4 linked regions of the Callithrix jacchus genome follow. The protein of the gene in region 4 interacts with the protein of the main gene of each other region in a biochemical or structural test. Links are inferred from orthologs where the notes say so. Each region holds a gene or a part of one and is shown on either strand. Other genes may lie near its edges.

Evidence for each region.
Region 1: the proteins of CFTR (region 4) and CASK interact in a test that uses a peptide from one of them, tested with the Homo sapiens proteins (2 studies listed by IntAct, with this or other methods). The link is inferred for Callithrix jacchus from reciprocal best matches to the Homo sapiens genes CFTR and CASK.
Region 2: the proteins of CFTR (region 4) and PRKAA1 form a complex in vitro, tested with the Homo sapiens proteins (2 studies listed by BioGRID, with this or other methods). The link is inferred for Callithrix jacchus from reciprocal best matches to the Homo sapiens genes CFTR and PRKAA1.
Region 3: the proteins of CFTR (region 4) and NHERF4 form a complex in vitro, tested with the Homo sapiens proteins (2 studies listed by BioGRID and IntAct, with this or other methods). The link is inferred for Callithrix jacchus from reciprocal best matches to the Homo sapiens genes CFTR and NHERF4.

What each region holds. Positions count from the first base shown.
Region 1 is NC_133524.1:42,784,669-42,789,904, forward strand, and holds the start of CASK (peripheral plasma membrane protein CASK), read right to left. Parts: upstream 3,070-5,236; 5' UTR 2,935-3,069; coding exon 2,876-2,934; intron 1-2,875. UniProt on the Homo sapiens protein: Multidomain scaffolding Mg(2+)-independent protein kinase that catalyzes the phosphotransfer from ATP to proteins such as NRXN1, and plays a role in synaptic transmembrane protein anchoring and ion channel trafficking.
Region 2 is NC_133503.1:164,798,712-164,803,232, forward strand, and holds part of PRKAA1 (5'-AMP-activated protein kinase catalytic subunit alpha-1), read left to right. Parts: intron 1-108; coding exon 109-250; intron 251-2,245; coding exon 2,246-2,339; intron 2,340-2,770; coding exon 2,771-2,815; intron 2,816-4,521. UniProt on the Homo sapiens protein: Catalytic subunit of AMP-activated protein kinase (AMPK), an energy sensor protein kinase that plays a key role in regulating cellular energy metabolism.
Region 3 is NC_133511.1:18,846,801-18,849,932, forward strand, and holds the end of NHERF4 (Na(+)/H(+) exchange regulatory cofactor NHE-RF4), read left to right. Parts: intron 1-121; coding exon 122-318; intron 319-407; coding exon 408-971; intron 972-1,225; coding exon 1,226-1,255; 3' UTR 1,256-1,962; downstream 1,963-3,132.
Region 4 is NC_133512.1:88,121,359-88,125,879, forward strand, and holds part of CFTR (cystic fibrosis transmembrane conductance regulator), read left to right. Parts: intron 1-2,265; coding exon 2,266-2,355; intron 2,356-3,225; coding exon 3,226-3,389; intron 3,390-4,487; coding exon 4,488-4,521. UniProt on the Homo sapiens protein: Epithelial ion channel that plays an important role in the regulation of epithelial ion and water transport and fluid homeostasis. Mediates the transport of chloride ions across the cell membrane.

The sequences.
Region 1 (5,236 bases), on a different chromosome or scaffold from region 4:
GAAAAAAAACAGATTGAAAGGTCTAAATTAAATGAGAACTTTCATTTATGCCATCAAGTAAGGTCAAGTACACAGTGGGTAAATGAGTAGGTAGTTGGGTAGGTAGAGGAGTGAGTGGGTGGTCAATTAGTCTTGAAAAGTGAAATCTATTTTAAAGTACCTTAGTAAAAATTTAAACCTATTAAGATCTAGTGGTGAAAAACAATTTGTGATACTAACTTGCTATAAAAGAAAATAAAAATTCCACAGAACTTGGATGGAAATCAATAAAAAGGTTTTCAATGCATGGGAAGATCTTCAAGGCTTTTCTGTTCAAATTCAGAGGTGAACAAATTCTAAGTTAAAAATGTATGCTGTCAAGGTCCCTGCAAGAAAATCTCAAGCTAATTTCAATTTCCATATCAATATATACTAAGACAATTTACCAGAGAAACCTTCAACCTTTACTCAGGTTGAGGAACACTATTATTACATTCTTTAACAATAAGACTAGCTTGAATTCATTATTTCATGTAATGGCATTTTATAATTGACACTGAGCAAGTCAGATTTTGTAGGATATGAATGAGATTTCACAGTTCATAGTAGTTAGATAGCCACAGAGTGCCTATCACCTCAAAATTAGCTTGCTGCCCCTCTTTATGCAGCTCTGAAATAGCCAGAAAAGATGAATTTTCTTCTCCCAGGGGTGTTTACTGAAAATATTCTATCAACTACAAATCAGTGGAATACTGTTAATGTGATGATGACCATTTCTTTTTGATATCCAAAGAGATCACATCATCATCCTTCCCAACTTTAAGGAATCAGAACTAGTTACCAAAACTGATTCAGTGATGGCTATTTTCCATCTTCACAATATAATTAACATTTTAATCTCACATTTTCCAATTATGAATTGCTAGTTTATTTACATCAGCTATAACTAAGATGCAACAAATATTATTCACCCACACATCCAGTCATTTGGAGGCTTTTGGAAAACACCTAATTTACCTTTACTGGGTGCTCTTAAGAATAAGGAAACCAAGGAGATTTTTGAGACATTTTTCTCTCCAAAACTGTCCTATTCACATGTGGGTACTGAGCACCTGAAACGTGGCTGGTCAGACTGGAAAACGGATTTTGAATTTTATTTAATTTTCATTTATTAAAATTTAAATTTAGAAAAAGGTACTTGATTCGGTTATTGGAAAACTTTTATATATACTGGGAACCACTTGGGTATGTGAATCTACTTTTGCAAATGCAGATTTTATGAAACCTAAATACAGATTACGAATTTCTGATGAAAATTCAGCTTAAGTGTCAGAATTGAGATGTGCTGTTAGTGTAAAATACACACTGGGATTTCAAAGACTTAGTATAAAACATGTAAAATATTTCGTTAATATGTTTTCATATTGATTACATGTTGAAATGTTTCAATCTACTGAGTTAAATAAAATATTTTATTAAAATTAGTTATACCTTTTTTATTAAATGTGGCTACTAGAAAATTTTAAATTATAAATGTGGCTCATAATACAGCTTTTGGACAGTGCTATTCCAAAACACTTCCACAACCACTTTAACAGGACACATTTGGATACTTTCCTTTTAACAGTCTGGCTGATCATGTAACAATAGGGCAAGGAGTAACATGTCCTCATATCAATTGTGTCTGAGTAAAGTGTGTAGCAAGCTCTATCCACGATTTCACCATGAGAGGCAACACTGTAATACCTCAATATGGAAAGAAAAAGAAACAAATTAGCACTCAAATTAAAATTGTGTACTGCAGACAACTTAAAAGAGAGAGGGCCAACTGCTCTAAGGTCTTAATTTCATTTCCCAACTGTGGACCTTAAAATAGACAATAAAGCACCGCTTCCAAAAAAAAAAATATTTCAATGGTAGCTCTAGCGATCCTTATTAAGCCACGGAATACACGCTGTGTTAGGAAATCAAGTTCAGATTGCCAGCATTTCCTTCACAAGCAAATTAGCAGGATTGTGCACTTGGAATACTGTTTGACAAGAATGAAAAGGAAACTATTCAAAATAGATTTAAGGAATAGACAATTAGATGAGGAACTGCAGATTTAATTCTCAATCAGCACTGTGATTAATCTGATTCCCTGCTTTTCCCTAGCGTAATTATACAACACAGATGAAAGGATGAGCATTTGGACTGTCAATTCTATATTCTAGACCAGCCTGGTGACTCAAAGCAGACGGTTCTACCATGCTAACCACCATCCCAACAACAGTCTAGGGGAGCCTCGAGCACTGATTGAACAGTCATTGCATAACGAGGCATTAAAAATTCGAATGCCCCCAACTCTTTCCACGTCTGTGTACACCAGGGGGGGATTTGCTGAAACTGAACGCACCCCGTCTTAAACGACCCCTTCCTATCCGGGCACGGGGTGTACACAAAGGCATCTGTCTAATATCCTGCACAATAGACACACACCCCACAACTAAAACCTTGGACTATCTCTCTCTCTCTCCACACAAGCAAAGGAAATGCAAGCTGCTCTTTTCAAAAATGGTCTATGGTACAAGCAAGGTAACAATAACCCTAACTGAAGCAACTATAAAATCGGCTGTGCCACGTCCCTATGCAACCGTCAGATAAAATGCAGGCAGCCGGCTCCACGCCTTACGGGGTGACCAACCTAGGCTCGTTGGCCTCAATGGATCGCTGAGAACCCCAAGGCCCCCGCCAAGCAGGAGCTCCAGGTACACGTCTATAAATACTCCAGGATGAGGAGGACGAGAGGGGAAGAGGGGAGGGCGGGCAGGGGGCAGGCCCCGAGCGGGTGCGGGAAGACCGGGGTATCACTGAAATGCATTTTTCCACACTCCCGCTCCCTCGCGTGGAGACTTACTTGCCGATCACCTCGCACAGCTCGTACACATCCTCGAACAGCACGTCGTCGTCGGCCATGGTCCGGAGGGGATAGCGGCCGCAGCGTGGAGGGCTTCGAAAACGGGGGTGGGGGCGCCCAAGAGCTCAGTGCCCAGCCCCGGGCTCGCCTCCTCCCCTCAGGACCCGCGAGCCCTCGGCGCCGAGGACGCTTGAGTGGGGCCGCGAGGCCCAGAGACTGCGGCGCCTTCCTCTGCGGACTACCGCCCCGGCGCGGGCGGCGGGGCCGGGGCGCGGGAGCAAGGGCGGCCCGGGCCCGGCGCCGCCCGCCCGCCCGCTGCTCCTCGCGCTGCTCGGGCCGCGCTGCCCGGCGTGCGGATCCTCGGGGACCGCGCGGCGTCCCGCTCTCGGCTCGTCAGCCCGAGCGGGCTGCGAGGCCACGACCGCTCCCTCTGTCCGAGACCGGCTCCGTCGCGTCGCGGAGCAGCTCGGACTACAGAGGGTGCCGCGGCAGGACCATGGAGGGAGGATCGTCTCGGAGGGAGGTGGCGGCGGCTGATCGGCGCTGGGGACCAGGAGGCGGTGGCAGAGACGCTCCCTCCTCTTTCTCCTCCTCCCGCAGCCGCCGCCGCCCGCCCAGAAGTGGGAGGGGGCTTCGCGGGACCGGCGCTCTGTGCGGGCGGGAGCCGCGGCTGCCGCCTTCTGCTCCGCCCCTCAGCCTCAGCAGCCGACCGACTCGCCAGCCCCGCACACCCGCCTCGCGCAGACACGCCCTCCTCCCCCGTCGCCAGCGCCGCTTCCAGAACCACAGGCCCCGCCCACACCAGTCCGTCGGGAGGCGGTGTCCCAGGGAAAAGGGAGCGGGCTGAGCGGCGCATGCGCGCGGCGCCGGTCGCGTCACGGCGAAAGGGCGGGCACTGGGATTCTAGAGGGCGCGGAGGGTTTGCGAGTGGGGCGCGCCGGCTGCAGCTGCTGAGGCGGGGCTTGGTTGGGGTCGTCGCCTCCGTGCCTAGCCGCGACCAAGCCGCGAAAGAGGATGGAGACAAAAGGTCCACGGCTGCACGCTCGTTGTCCGGCAAGAGGCACGGAACTCCGGCCGTTACCCCTTCTTTTGTAATCGCAGGGAGCCTTTCCCAGTTTTTTGTCGAGAAAAGAGGCAGGGAAAGGGTGCGAATGAATGAGAAGGCCAAAAGAGGTAGAGAGAGGTTGTCACTGAAGCCGTGCTTGGCAGCGGATGCTTTTAGTGCCACCCTGTCATTCCTTAATGAAGACGAGGGCTGGGGGTAAGGGTAGGTCATCCTATAAAAGGACTAGACAAAAACTGCCTAGGAAGGTGTGCGACAGCAGCACACGGTCATCTATGGAGACAGCTTCTCCCACGTTCTGGCCCAAACTCAGCAAATATCAATCCAGCGCTTACCCTCACTAGAGACAACCTAGAGAGAAACCAGGAAGGCAGGGACAAACTGCGACTTTAATCTCCTTTGTATATTGCCCCCAAACTCCCAACACCTACTCTGCTCTCTATATTGCCTATAAATGTTAGACTTGTCAGGAACAAAATGCAACTAGAGGGAGTGCAGGCACAGGAGCAGCCAGGGAGTGAGGTTCTGGGTGTTGCCGCTGTGCTAGGTTGCATTCAAAATGAAGATTTCTGTTCAACTGAGCATGTGCGGAATGAGCCAACGCCGTGAGACAGGTGTATGCCTCAGTTGAAGACCAATAGTCTTTGTTCCTCCGCACAGCAAAAGTGCCCAATTAGTTCATAAGTCAGTTTCCAGAAATCTTCTGGCAAATTTCTCAGTGAGGTAATTTTTTCAAAAAAATTATTTCTTAATACCAAAGCAGAGGGGGTGTTGTGGAGACTCACAGCCTATTTTCTCTTCAGAAACGTTTCATGCAAACCCTTGACCACTCCCTCAAAAGGCTGAGAGATTTGCTTGCTAAGGATTTGAGTACTAAACCTTTTTTAAAAAAACATGCAGACCAGAGGACAAGCGTAATTGCACGTGGTTTTCCTCCTTTCTTAGAGAGCTTGTGCATTCTCTAGAGAAGGGGGCTTCGGAACTTAAGAAACATTGCCTCCTTTAAGGGTCCAAGAGTTACTCACCACAAGTTGGCATGTTCAGCTCATGCCCTATGAATAAGGTGTCACTCTATTCTGCCCTTAAGTGCCCAGAGACCCTCTCAAGTCACCTTGTCAGCTTCACTTCTTTTCCCCAGCCCAAAACTAAGATACACCAAGCCTTGTCAACTTCATTTTGGGGTTTGTTTTCTTCCAAAGGGACCTATGCTCAGAGGCAGAAAAGGACGATTATAAAGGAAAACAGAAAAGCAAGTGGAGGTGAAAAAAGAAGAGACAATTGTAAAGGTAAGTAACGCT
Region 2 (4,521 bases), on a different chromosome or scaffold from region 4:
TGCAAGTGCTGGGATTACAGGCGTGAGCCACCGTACCCAGCCAGAATATGTATAAATATATTATTGATCATACTTAGTACTAATTTGTTAAAATTACTTCCTTTACAGTTGGCAAACATGAATTAACTGGGCATAAAGTGGCTGTGAAGATACTCAATAGGCAGAAGATTCGGAGCCTCGATGTGGTGGGAAAAATCCGCAGAGAAATTCAGAACCTCAAGCTTTTCAGGCATCCTCATATAATTAAACTGTAAGCTCTGTTTATATTAAATGTAGACCAGTCATCTTTTCATCTTTTTTGTTAACCTACTTAATGTGACAAGCGAGAAAAATGACTGACACTTCTTTTTGTTTCATGAGGGTTTTGAAAAGTTTCTTCCTAGGCCGCTTGCAGTGGCTCATGCCTGTAATCCCAGCATTTTGGGAGGCCGAGGTGGACAGATCACCTGAGGTCAGGAGTTCAAGACTAGCCTGGCCAACATGGTGAAACCCCATCTCTACTAAAAATATAAAAATTAGCTCTGTGTGGTGGTGGGCACCTGTAATCCCAGCTACTCAGGAGGCTGAGGCAGGAGAATTGCTTGAACCTGGGAGGTAGAGGTAGCAGTGAGCTGAGATCATGCCTTTGCACTCCAGCCTGGGCAACAAGGGCGAAACTGTCTCAAAAAAAAAAAAGTTTCTTCCTTTGCATGTATTCTTCTAGCCCTCCTGATGGTCATTTAATCCTGTGTTCATGTTTTGCCCTTGTGCTTATCAGCTGTTATCTTCTCATTCTTTCCTGTCTTCTGGAAAGATGCCCTTTTGATAATAATGTTTGGTGCCCCATTAGTGTAAAATCAACAATGATCTGCTAGTAAAAACTCTTGACCTCCAAGTGCCCACATGACGTCAGTTAGCCTCATTAGCGAGAATGCAGTAGAAAGAGTTTTTTCCCATCCTGCTTATACCTGAATACAGATAACAAAATTTTAGGAATCTAATATTTCAAAAGAGCAGTAATCTTACTGTTGTTTTATAGTTGTAGGTTGTAGAGTCTATAAATAACATATTTCCTGCTCAGCTTCTGCTTTGTTATGCAGGCAATAATTTAAAGCTGCTGAACTGGCTGACTCAAATTTGTTTCACTCACCTCTTCTCATTTGTTGAGGTTCCATGGTTTTAAATACCATCCATGTGCTTACCACTCCTAAATGTCCATCTCTTGCTTTAAGATCTCTTCTTACTCCAGACTCAAAATGCTCACTGCTGACTTTACATTTCCATTTGGATGTCCGCAAGGCATTTAAAACTCCCTGGGACCAAAATGAACTATTACTCTCCCAAACCTGCTCTTACCACAGTTTTCACCATCTCAGCTAACATCCAGTTACCCAGGGCTAAAACTTAGGAACCGTTTTTAACTTCCCTGTTTCTTTCACATCTCTTCCTATAAAATCAAGCTAGCATGTGACTGCTTCTCAGTTCCTTTATCACTGTCAACCTGGTCTCAGCCACCTTCATCCGTCTTATGAAATCCTGAGGTAACCTCCTGTATCTACCTTTACTGTTGACAGTTAATTCTTTACACTGTGGCCAGAGTTTTCCTTTTAATATGCCAGATCACATGACTGCTTAAAACATATGATAGCTTTTTTCTTTTTTTTTTCCTTTCTTTATTTTTTTCTTTTTAGCCCCTTTCTGAGACAATGATAGCTTTTTTCATTTTCCTTGGAGTAAAAGCCAAAGCCTTATCATGGCTTATACAATTCTATGTACTCTGGCCGGCAGTTAACACCTTTGATTCTACATCCTATTTTTCCCTCCCTGCTTACTCTGCTGTGCCCTTACTATTCCTCGAACATGCCAAACAGGATTCTACCTGGGGACATTTGTAGCTGCTGTTTTCTCTCCCTGGTTCACCTTCCTCCTAGATAATGGCATAATTTATTTCCATTCTTCTTTTAGGATCAGCTCAAATGTTACTTTATTAGAAGGCTTCCTTGAGCACTCTGTATACAAACATTCCCCTTAGTTTGCTTTATTTTTCTACATAGCATGTTCTACCACCTGAGATACTGTTTATTTATTTAGTGTCTGTTTCCTGGCTTCTGGAACATGAACTCCATGAGAGCAGATAATTTTTGTTCCCTGCAGTTATCCTAGCTCCTAGCATGGCACCTAGTATACTATAGGTGCTTAGTAAATATTTATTGAATGAATGAATATACATGTTTTAATATTTGTAGACAATTTTTTCTCTCACCAGGTACCAGGTCATCAGTACACCATCTGATATTTTCATGGTGATGGAATATGTCTCTGGAGGAGAGCTATTTGATTATATCTGTAAGAATGGAAGGGTAAGCTGTTCTGATTTAATTCTGTATGTATTTTGTAACTCTCCTTTGTCCTTTACTAGCATCAGAATGTCAGCAAGCAATTTTAAGAGGTCTATTTAATAACCAGTTCCCTTAGTCATATATTTATTTAGAATCATAAGCCATTTAGAACTAGAAAGGATCTTAAAGATTATCTCAGCCTGTTTATACAGATATGGATATTGAGCCTCATGGTTTGTATGTTGCTCATGGTAACATGATTTATTAATGACAGAATTGGCTTGAGATCCCAGAACTCATAATCCTCAGACTTATGCTTCCAGGGTATGCAAATACTTTGAAAATGTATCTTAATGTAATTAATACTTACAAAATATATTATTACTTAACAATCTAGGCCTTGCTAGTCAATCCTAGCCACATTTAAATTGCGTTCATTTTTTTGGTTTCAGAAATCTGATGTACCTGGAGTAGTAAGAACAGGCTCCATGAAGGAGGTAGGAATTAGACATAAAGAACTTAGAGCTGGAAGGAACTTTAGAAGACGTTTTGAACACTACCTTAAGTTACAGATAGAAAACTCAACACTGCCCTCTGCCCATAACTTTCTCTCATACCCAGGTTATGTGGTATACAAAAAGCCCCTTTGTGGGAGAGCTGTATCTAGCCCTGAAAAGAAAGCTTTTCTCCCTCCCGGTCTTAAGTTACTTACATTACTCATTCATTTGTTCTATATAGCATGTCTGTTTACTTTCAATAGAATCAAACTTTATTAACTAAGTTAATTTTGATTTTACTGTTTCTTAACATGGTTAATTTCTATTTCAGGTACTCCCCTTCTTCCGTTTCTCCTCACCAAAAAAAAAAAAAAAAAAAAAAGTTTTATATGGAGAAATGGGAAACAGGCACAACTGATATACATTTTTTCTTATCTTTTCTGTTTTTATTTCGTGGTTTTACTTTGTGGGTGTTTCTTCAATTTTATCAGTTGAATATTAAAATTTCAGTGACCATATTTTCTATTTCAAAACTTTATTTTCTGAAATTTTCATTTCTTTAGTCTGCTGTTATTTGCTCCACAGATGTAATAACCTGGTCTGAGGATGACATTGAAAAAAAAAGTTTTCCTCTGTTCCATCTTGTTGTGTACCTTCTGTGCTCTCTGCTCCTCATTTTTTTCTGTTCATTTTTGTCTTTGATACGTGGCCCTTTTTCAGATATTTGGTGATTTGTGGCTGTCCACTTAATATTTAAGAATAAGATACTAAATGCCAGGCTCATGTGGGTGGAACTTACTGATTGCTGGGTTTTCCTATATCTTGAATAGGTAGGGACTTGTCCATTTTATTACTGTATATCAAATGGTAATAATAGCAAATATGTTTTCTTGTATCAGATATTTCAGAAGAAACCTTCCCATATCCTTAAAATCCTTAGCTTAGCTGTTAGTGCTCCAGGAGCTGAGTGTGAGAAAAGAGATGCAAGTCTCAGTAGTTAGTACGTTGACTTCTCTTAGCCCCCATGTTTTCCTCAGCATGCCTTATCCCTGCCTTAAGTGTCCTTGAGAGCAGAGCTGGTTCAGCCTTACTAGAGGAAATTACAGGTCTTATTCCCCAGTATGGGTGAGTTTAAAAGCTTCTTACTTCAAGTACTTGTCCTGTTTTCAGCCCCCTATGTTTCTAATTTCTAAGGCTTCCCAGGGCTTTTTTGTGCAGACATTTATTTCTTACTGGCTTCTATCCCTGTAGGCTTAGGTTTCAGCTTTTTCTTGTAGTTTAGTCTTTATTACCATTTATCTGTTGTCCTCCTTGGTGACTTCTCTTGATTGCTGTTGTATCTTTTGTTCTTTTTGTCTTTATATGCCTCTTTTATTGCTGATGTCATTTTAGTGATGTTTCAAGAATTGGAGATGAAAGATTTAATCTGCTATGTTTAATGGGAAATGTATTTTGACTTTTCTGATCTTCCTTTATAGACATCCCTTTCTCCATCCTTTGTAGTTGTATTTGTTATGAATATAGTATAATTTTCAATTTTGTAGCCTGTCTAGTTACTTTATATATTTTGTTTAATCAAATTTTCTCTTATTTTTTCATATTTGAACAGATACCCTTTTTTACCCCATGAACCTACAAATCTTCTAGAAATAAAAGTATTAGATTACTAAGGGATTAGTATTTTTCTAGAGGAACAGTATCTTATA
Region 3 (3,132 bases), on a different chromosome or scaffold from region 4:
GTCCCTGTCTGAGCTCTGGCCCTGGGCCACCTCTTCCTGCTCACCCTGAGGTCAGTCCGCTGGTGTGCACACAGTGGCCTGGGATAGTTGGGGAGAAGCAGTAAGGATGTCTGTGCCCCAGGACAGTTCCTGTGGGATGTAGACCCAGGACTGCCAGCTGAGAAGGCTGGGATGCAGGCTGGGGACCGGCTGGTGGCTGTGGCTGGGGAGAGCGTGGAGGGACTGGGCCATGAGGAGACAGTGTCCAGGATCCAGGCGCAGGGCTCCTGTGTCTCCCTCATTGTCGTCGACCCTGATGCTGACCGCTTCTTCAGCATGGTGCGTGCTGAGGGGGCAGGGGCTAGGGATGGGGCAGAAGAGGAGCAGGGCTCGGGTCCAACAGGTTTGCTCTACCTGCCACCTTCCAGGTTCGCCTATCCCCACTCCTCTTCTTGGAGAACACAGAGGTTACTGCCTCTCCCCAGGGCAGTGGCTCAGCCTCTCTGGTTGAGACAGAGGACCCTTCACTTGAAGACACAGGCGTGCCTTCCGTCCCTCTTGGCTCCCGCCAGTGCTCTCTGTACCCTGGGCCTGGTGGCGGCTATGGCTTCCGACTCAGCTGTGTGGAGGGTGGGCCTCGTCTCTTTATCTCACAGGTGACTCATGCCCCATGGACCCTGAATCCTTTCCATCCTTTGCTGCCTGATCAGTTTCCTCTGCTTTCCTTCCAGAGCCTTAAGCCAGCAAATTTTCCCTGGTCTCCCCTGTTCTGCATGCCCCCACACCACCAGGTGACTCCAGGAGGCTCAGCTGCCCGGGCGGGGCTGCGAGTGGGAGATGTGATTCTGGAAGTGAACGGGTACCCTGTTGGGGGAAAGAATGACCTGGAGAGGCTTCAGCAGCTGCCTGAGGCTGAGCCACCCCTCTGCCTGAAGCTGGCAGCCAGGTCTCCATGGGGCTTGGAAGCCTGGATTCCCCCTGGGGCTGTAGAGGTGAGGAAGAAGAAACAGATTGGACTGTGAGTAGCTACAGAAGGTCAGGGAGGAGTGAGAAAGGACAGAGTGGGCAAGCTGCAAGGTGAAGCAGTGTGGGGTCTGCAAGGTGGGCTTCAGGTCGTGGTAGGTGGGGACAGAAAAATGCATGAAATAAGTCCCGTTCCTGGGCATTCCAGTGCAGGAGGAGGCAAGAAAAAGTAACTCTTTGGGGTCCCACCTGGAACCACCTTCCGCCTCCTCTCTCTGCCTAGGACTGGGCTCTGGCCTCGGACCTGCTATAGAGCATCACTGCTTGGTACAGACATACCAGGGGATATCCTGTCTTCACTCTCAAGCCCAAGGTGTTGGAGGCAGGATGCTCTCTATAAGCCAGACACCACCAATCACAGGCTGGCCCAGGCACTCCCTCCCTTCCTGCAGACCCACCTCCCAGCAGAGGGTATGGCAGAAGGCCTCAGGCAGGTCCCTGACGAAGTCTGAGGCTCCAGAGGATGTCGTCTGGGAGCTTTGGAGAGCTGTGTCCCAAGGATGAAGGTGTGGCTGTGGGGCTGGCTAGGACTGAAACCACCTGGACCTTTTCTAGATAGGACTCCACGACCCTTGAGTGTAATGCAAGAATTTGGAGACCAGCTATGCCTGCCCTCTGTGGGCACCTTAACACTGCGGAGGGTGGTGCCTGGGCACCGTTGCACTTGTTAGAGAAATGGCCGTTCCCCATAAATCTGACTGCCTGTGTTTGTGTTGGTGGGGGTAAGGGGCAGTGGTCTGAAGGGACCCAAAGGACCTCAGGCTCAAGGGATGGGACCTGGCTTTTGCAGGAGAGAGGTTGCGACTTGATCAAATTTCTTTCCTGTCACTCAGTCTCGGATTAATGGATCAACCCAGAACTGAGGTGTCCCCATGAGAGCCCCATGAGAGCCATTCCTAAAAATAAAAGCAACAACAAAACAAAACAAAGAAGAAAAATAAATTAAAAAATAATAAAAAAGATCCATTCCTCTCTGCCAAAAGACCACCGCCCACAGCTCTGCTGAGTTCTGCATCAAGATGCTTTATTGCTGGGGCCTCAGAGAGCCTGAGAGACTAGAGGCTGGAGGCCTCAAAGATCCAGGGGGTGAGTCCGAACTGGCATAGCTGCTCCTTGAGCCTGGGGTCTCAGCGCAGCCCCATCCCACTGCGGCTTGATAGCTCTCAGCATGGCCAAGAGCCTGTCCAGGCTGTCCTGCAGACACCAAGATTTCAGCCCCCAGGAAGACAGAGGGAAGTGGATAAGGCTGCCCCAGGTTGGTTTGTAAGCTTTCCTTGTCCAGCAGACATGGTTGTATCCCTTCTTTCCGTCCTCAGGATAGAGCAGGGTTCCCTTGGAGATGCTTCTTCTCCTTACCCCTGGGTTGTCAGTCATCATACTAGCTGGGGTTTGTGGGCACGGGGGAGTCCTGGGTACTGGGTGGCTGGGCAGGGGGTGGTGCTCATGTGTAAGATTTCCTCATACTTGGCTTCCATGTCTGCCACATGGGCCTGAAGCTGAGCCAGGGCCTGATCCGGTTCTCCTAGGGCTTGCTCAGCCTCTTCCCAGGCAGCCGCAGCCTCCCTCTGGCATGCCTCCAGGGGCGGGCAGGATGAAAGAGAGTAGGATGGTGACACTCCACCCTTGACCAGTCTCCAAAGGTATCTGCAAAGGGGACCTCAAGTGGGCTCATTCCAGACTCCCTCAGGATCACCAACTTTCCCACAGTCCCTGTAAAAGCTACAGCTCCACTGAGGTATGGCAGAGAGTGGTGGGCTTGAGATAGAAGACTCCAAAGTCGGTTGTTACTACCTAGGTGACTTCAGGTGTGTCTCTCTCTGAGCCTCAGTGTCTTCATCTATTTTTTTTTTTTTTTTTGAGACAGAGTCTCGCTCTGTCACCAGGCTGGAGTGCAGTGACATGATCTCAGCTCACTGCGACCTCTACTTCCCGGGTTCAAGGGATTCTCATGCTTCAGCCTCCCAAGTAGCTGGGTCTACAGGTGAGCACCATGATGCCTAGCTAATTTTTGTATTTTTTTTTTTTTTTGAGACGGAGTTTCGCTGTTGTTACTCAGACTGGAGTGCAATGGCACGATCTCGGCTCACTTTAACCTCCACCTCCTGGGTTCAAGCAATTTCTCCTGCCTCA
Region 4 (4,521 bases):
CCATAACCCTTCTAAGATATAACTGCAAGGTCGACTGTGTTGTAAAACCTCAATAACTGTACTTTATTGTTCAAAAAAGCCTTTTATGAAGGCAGAAGTAAGAAAAAAAAAACGGAGTCCACAGTTATCACCTCAGCTGCAATCTCATCAGTTCACAAGTACCAGGGAAACGTGTGATAAATCAACAAAAGTTTTATTTTGATCCAAACCTTTACATAAGTGAGGACATTGTTAGATATCATTTAGAATGTAGACTCTACACAGCTGGCATATCAGAGAAAGTTGAATTCATTTAATAAATATTTATAAAAATTGCTTATCTTAATGGTAATAGCATGTGCATGACAAATTTTTAGGCAATTAGGTACACCATCTCATTTGATCTTCTGCACAACTCTTAATGGTAGGTATTATTACCCCTATCATATGGATAAGGAAACTAAGATTTTAAAGGTACAGAACATGGTGCAGACACTGCTTCAAAATTTCTAAAATAGGTAAATCACAATCTTTGAACTGGAGGGTTTTCCAACCACTCGGGACAATAGAGTACTGATATTTAGTGGGCAGACTCTACTGCAGGGAGAGAGAGGCATGGGCTAATGGGGTACAGAGATCAAATAATGGGCAGGTTAGTTTGTAAACAAGTCCCTATGTAACATTTAGCACAAATATAGGTGCTTTCAGACCCAGATGCACTGATAAAAAGTTAAATGGTATAGTATTTGTCTTCCTTTCTCAACATTGAGTATCTGTGTTCTTGGTGAGTTTGATTTCTCTCTCTAACCACCCTTATGCCTACATTGGCATTATCACCAAAGAAGGCAATCCCGTCTCTGTGTGGCTTTGGTTTGGTTCCTAAAGTGAACCTGTGTTTACTCTTCCCAGGTCTGATGCTTTCCCATATCTGACCTGTTTGGCCTCATAACCAGGATATATGGGATATTTCCTACAATGTTCCAAAGTTTGTAACAGAGCTCTCCTCTGCTTTGTTCCAAATTCTGCAATATTTTACTTTAAATAATGAATTTAAATACAAACAATTTTGAGCTTTGCCTATACTTTTCAAGAATGCAGAAATAACTTAATTTAAAAATATTTATTGAGTCCTTACTGTGCACACAGCTCCATGTTAAGCCTTATGCAGGACTCAAAGTCACTTGAGACTAAGCCTGTTACTAAATCATGTGCAATTTAGCTCAATGGGTTTTCCCCCTTCATGTTGCTCTGATAATGTTTTGGAATTAAGTGCCTTGATTCCTTCTTTTCTCTGCTTATCTGCACACTGTTTATTATTCCACACCATCTCAAATTCTAACTCCTCAAGAAAATCCTTCCAGATTTTTCTAACCAGAAGTTTTAACTTTTTCTTAACTACCCTATTACTTTCTACTTTCCTTAACTCATCTATCATGTTATATTTAGTTATTTATATACTAGGTTGCTTTGAAGAAATAATTATGTTTTAATAAATCTTAATAATCATTGAGGCATCAAGTAGAGTGATTTGTATTTACTAAATGCTCAACAAGTATGTGAGAGATTCACTTGAAACTAATATTAGATAATTCCCAATCAAAGTGAGCTAATAGCAAATCAATTCTTCTACAGTTTGAGGTCAAATTGAGCAAAGTATGACTCTGATCTTCCATAATCATAGTCAACTTTATAATTTTAAGTAAATTTAATTAGTAGATAAATAAGTAGATAAAAAATAATTTACCTTCTTAACTATTTTTCATATGCCATTGCACTTTTCTTTGTAAAATTTAAGGATTTTGTTAATATACTTTTTCACAAAAGTAATAATTACTCAGCTATTCATCCCATACTTTTATTAACTTTAACCGTAATTTTATTCAAAAGAGTTAGTATAGGACTGCATGAAAAATTCAAGGCCAAGGCTTAATCTCAAATTTCCCTCCCTTTGGCTCTATTTTTTGAAACAAAACAAAACAAAAAATCCCATACCATATAAATGGGTATTTAAGTATAATATCATTTTCATTGTGAGGAGAAAAAATAATTATTTCTCTCTAGATGCTGGAAAATAAAACAGCTAGAAGCCTGCCAGTATAATACTGTTAAAAGTAATATTTATGAATCTGAGAAGATAGTAAGCTAGATGAATAGAACATAATTTTCATTACCTTTGCTTAATAATGAATGCATAAAAACTGAATTTCTCAGTCATATTATAACGTTACTTAAAATATATTTGTATTTTGTTTGTTGAAATTTTCTAACTTCCCATTTTTCTCTTAGACTTTAAAGCTGTCGAGCCGTGTTCTAGATAAAATAAGTATTGGACAACTTGTTAGTCTCCTTTCCAACAACCTGAACAAATTTGATGAAGTATGTACCTGTTGATTTAATATTTTATGCACTATTATTATAAATTATACAATTGAAAAGGTAGAGTTTTCCTGGGTCACATGATAGTAATTAGTGGTTAAGTCTTGCTTATCTCCAGCTTCCCTATTCTGGAAACGGAGAAAGGTAGACTGTATAGCATAGCGCCATTCTGGGGTCTGGTAGAACCACCCAACGCAGAGGCATCTCAGGCTGTTGTTAATAAGATTTTTCAAAACTTAATTCTTATAAGATCTTGCTTCTCTTTACTACTTTAAATCTGTTATATACTTTGGCTGAATATGATACTCAGAGCAATTTTTGTTCTATATTGTCTTATGTGACAAATTCAAGCTCCTTGAGGATAATGTGTTTTACTTATCCTTGCATGTCCAGTACTTAAAATAGCTTTGGACCCACAGCTGGTACAAAATTGATTACTGTTGAATTGAACAACTCTTCCTAATGTTTCTGTCAGTTGACAGAGATGTGCAGTTGTGCGGATTGAGTCTCTAGAGAGTTTTTTGTTCTCTCATGTCCTGTGCTGTATTTCTTGCCTAATCCAAAAAGAAATAAGTTACTAAAAACCTGGACATGATTCTTAAGATATCCAATCTCAATTCCACTGAATAAAAATATACTTTAAAATGCACTTACTTGAAATTTGTTCTTTGGGAAAACCTAGTCTGTATGTAGAATGTTAAAGCACATTGTTATGTGCTCCATGTAATGATTACTTGATTTTAGTGTGCTCAGAACCATAAAGTGTTTGATCATATGCTCTCTGTATTCGCTTTCTTTCATATGTGATTGTTTGTTTCTAGGGGTGGAAGATAAAATGCCACCTGTTTTTGCTGTGCTTTTATTTTCCAGGGACTTGCATTGGCACATTTCGTGTGGATCGCTCCTTTGCAAGTGGCACTCCTCATGGGGCTAATCTGGGAGTTGTTACAGGCCTCTGCCTTCTGTGGACTTGGTTTCCTGATAGTTCTTGCCCTTTTTCAGGCTGGGCTGGGGAGAATGATGATGAAGTACAGGTAGCAACTTATTTGCATAGCTTGAAAATTTTAAAAATTATGTTTTCAAAAAGCCCACTTTAGTAAAACCAGGACTGCTCTTTACATAGAACTGTGATCTTCAGTGTCACTAAAAAAGCCTTTTTTTTTTTTCTTTTCAAATTCTTTTTTGGAGGCAGAGTCTAACTTTGTTACCCATGCTGGAGTGCAGTGGCACCATCTTGGCTCATTGCAACCTTTGCCTCCCACTCTCAAGCAATTCTCCTGTCTCAGCCTCCAGAGTAGCTGGGGTTACAGGCACATGCCACCACACCTGGCTAATTTTTATATTTTAGTAGAGACACGGTTTCACCAGGTTACTCAGGATGGTCTTGACCTTAAGTGATCTGTCCACCTCAGCCTCCCAAAGTGCTGGGATGACAGGCATGAGCCACTGTACCTGGCCTAAAAAAAGACTCTTTAAAGTGGTATAAATATTACTTCCTATATCAATGGGAAAGTTTTTGCTTGTCAGTCTCTAGAATTCCTTTATAAATATGTTGATTCAGTTCATTTTTTAAGATATAAAACAGCTAAAAATGGATAAAATTTTTATGTGAGTTAAAAGGAATACCTGATTTTTGTGTAGAGTTTATTAGCTTTTAGGACTCTGGTTTACGGATCATCACACCAGAGCCTTAGTCACTTTGTATTACAGAATAACTAATACCAGTGAATGAATGACTTACACCAGTCACTGCTTGTGATAAAGGGCTTCCTGAGTCAGATAGAATATGACATAAAGTATAAAAATTTTGGAGTCAAATAGCTCTTTGTTTGAATCCCAGATTGCATACTTACTAGTTATATGACCTTAGTCAAGCCAGTTCACCTCACTGTCTTTGCTTTTTTCATCTCTGAATTGAGATACCCACCACTCATAGACTCTCATAAGGGACAGGGACAATGCCACGTAGGAGGCATTTACTAAACAGTAGTTATTATTTTTGCTACCATCTATTTGATAAAATAAATACCCATCTGTTGAACAAAAGAAATATGACTTAAAACCTTGAGCAGTTCTTTGTAGATAATTTGACTTGTTTTTCCTATGAGATTGATTGATTGATTGATTTACAGAGATCAAAGAGCTGGAAAGATCAATGAAAGACTT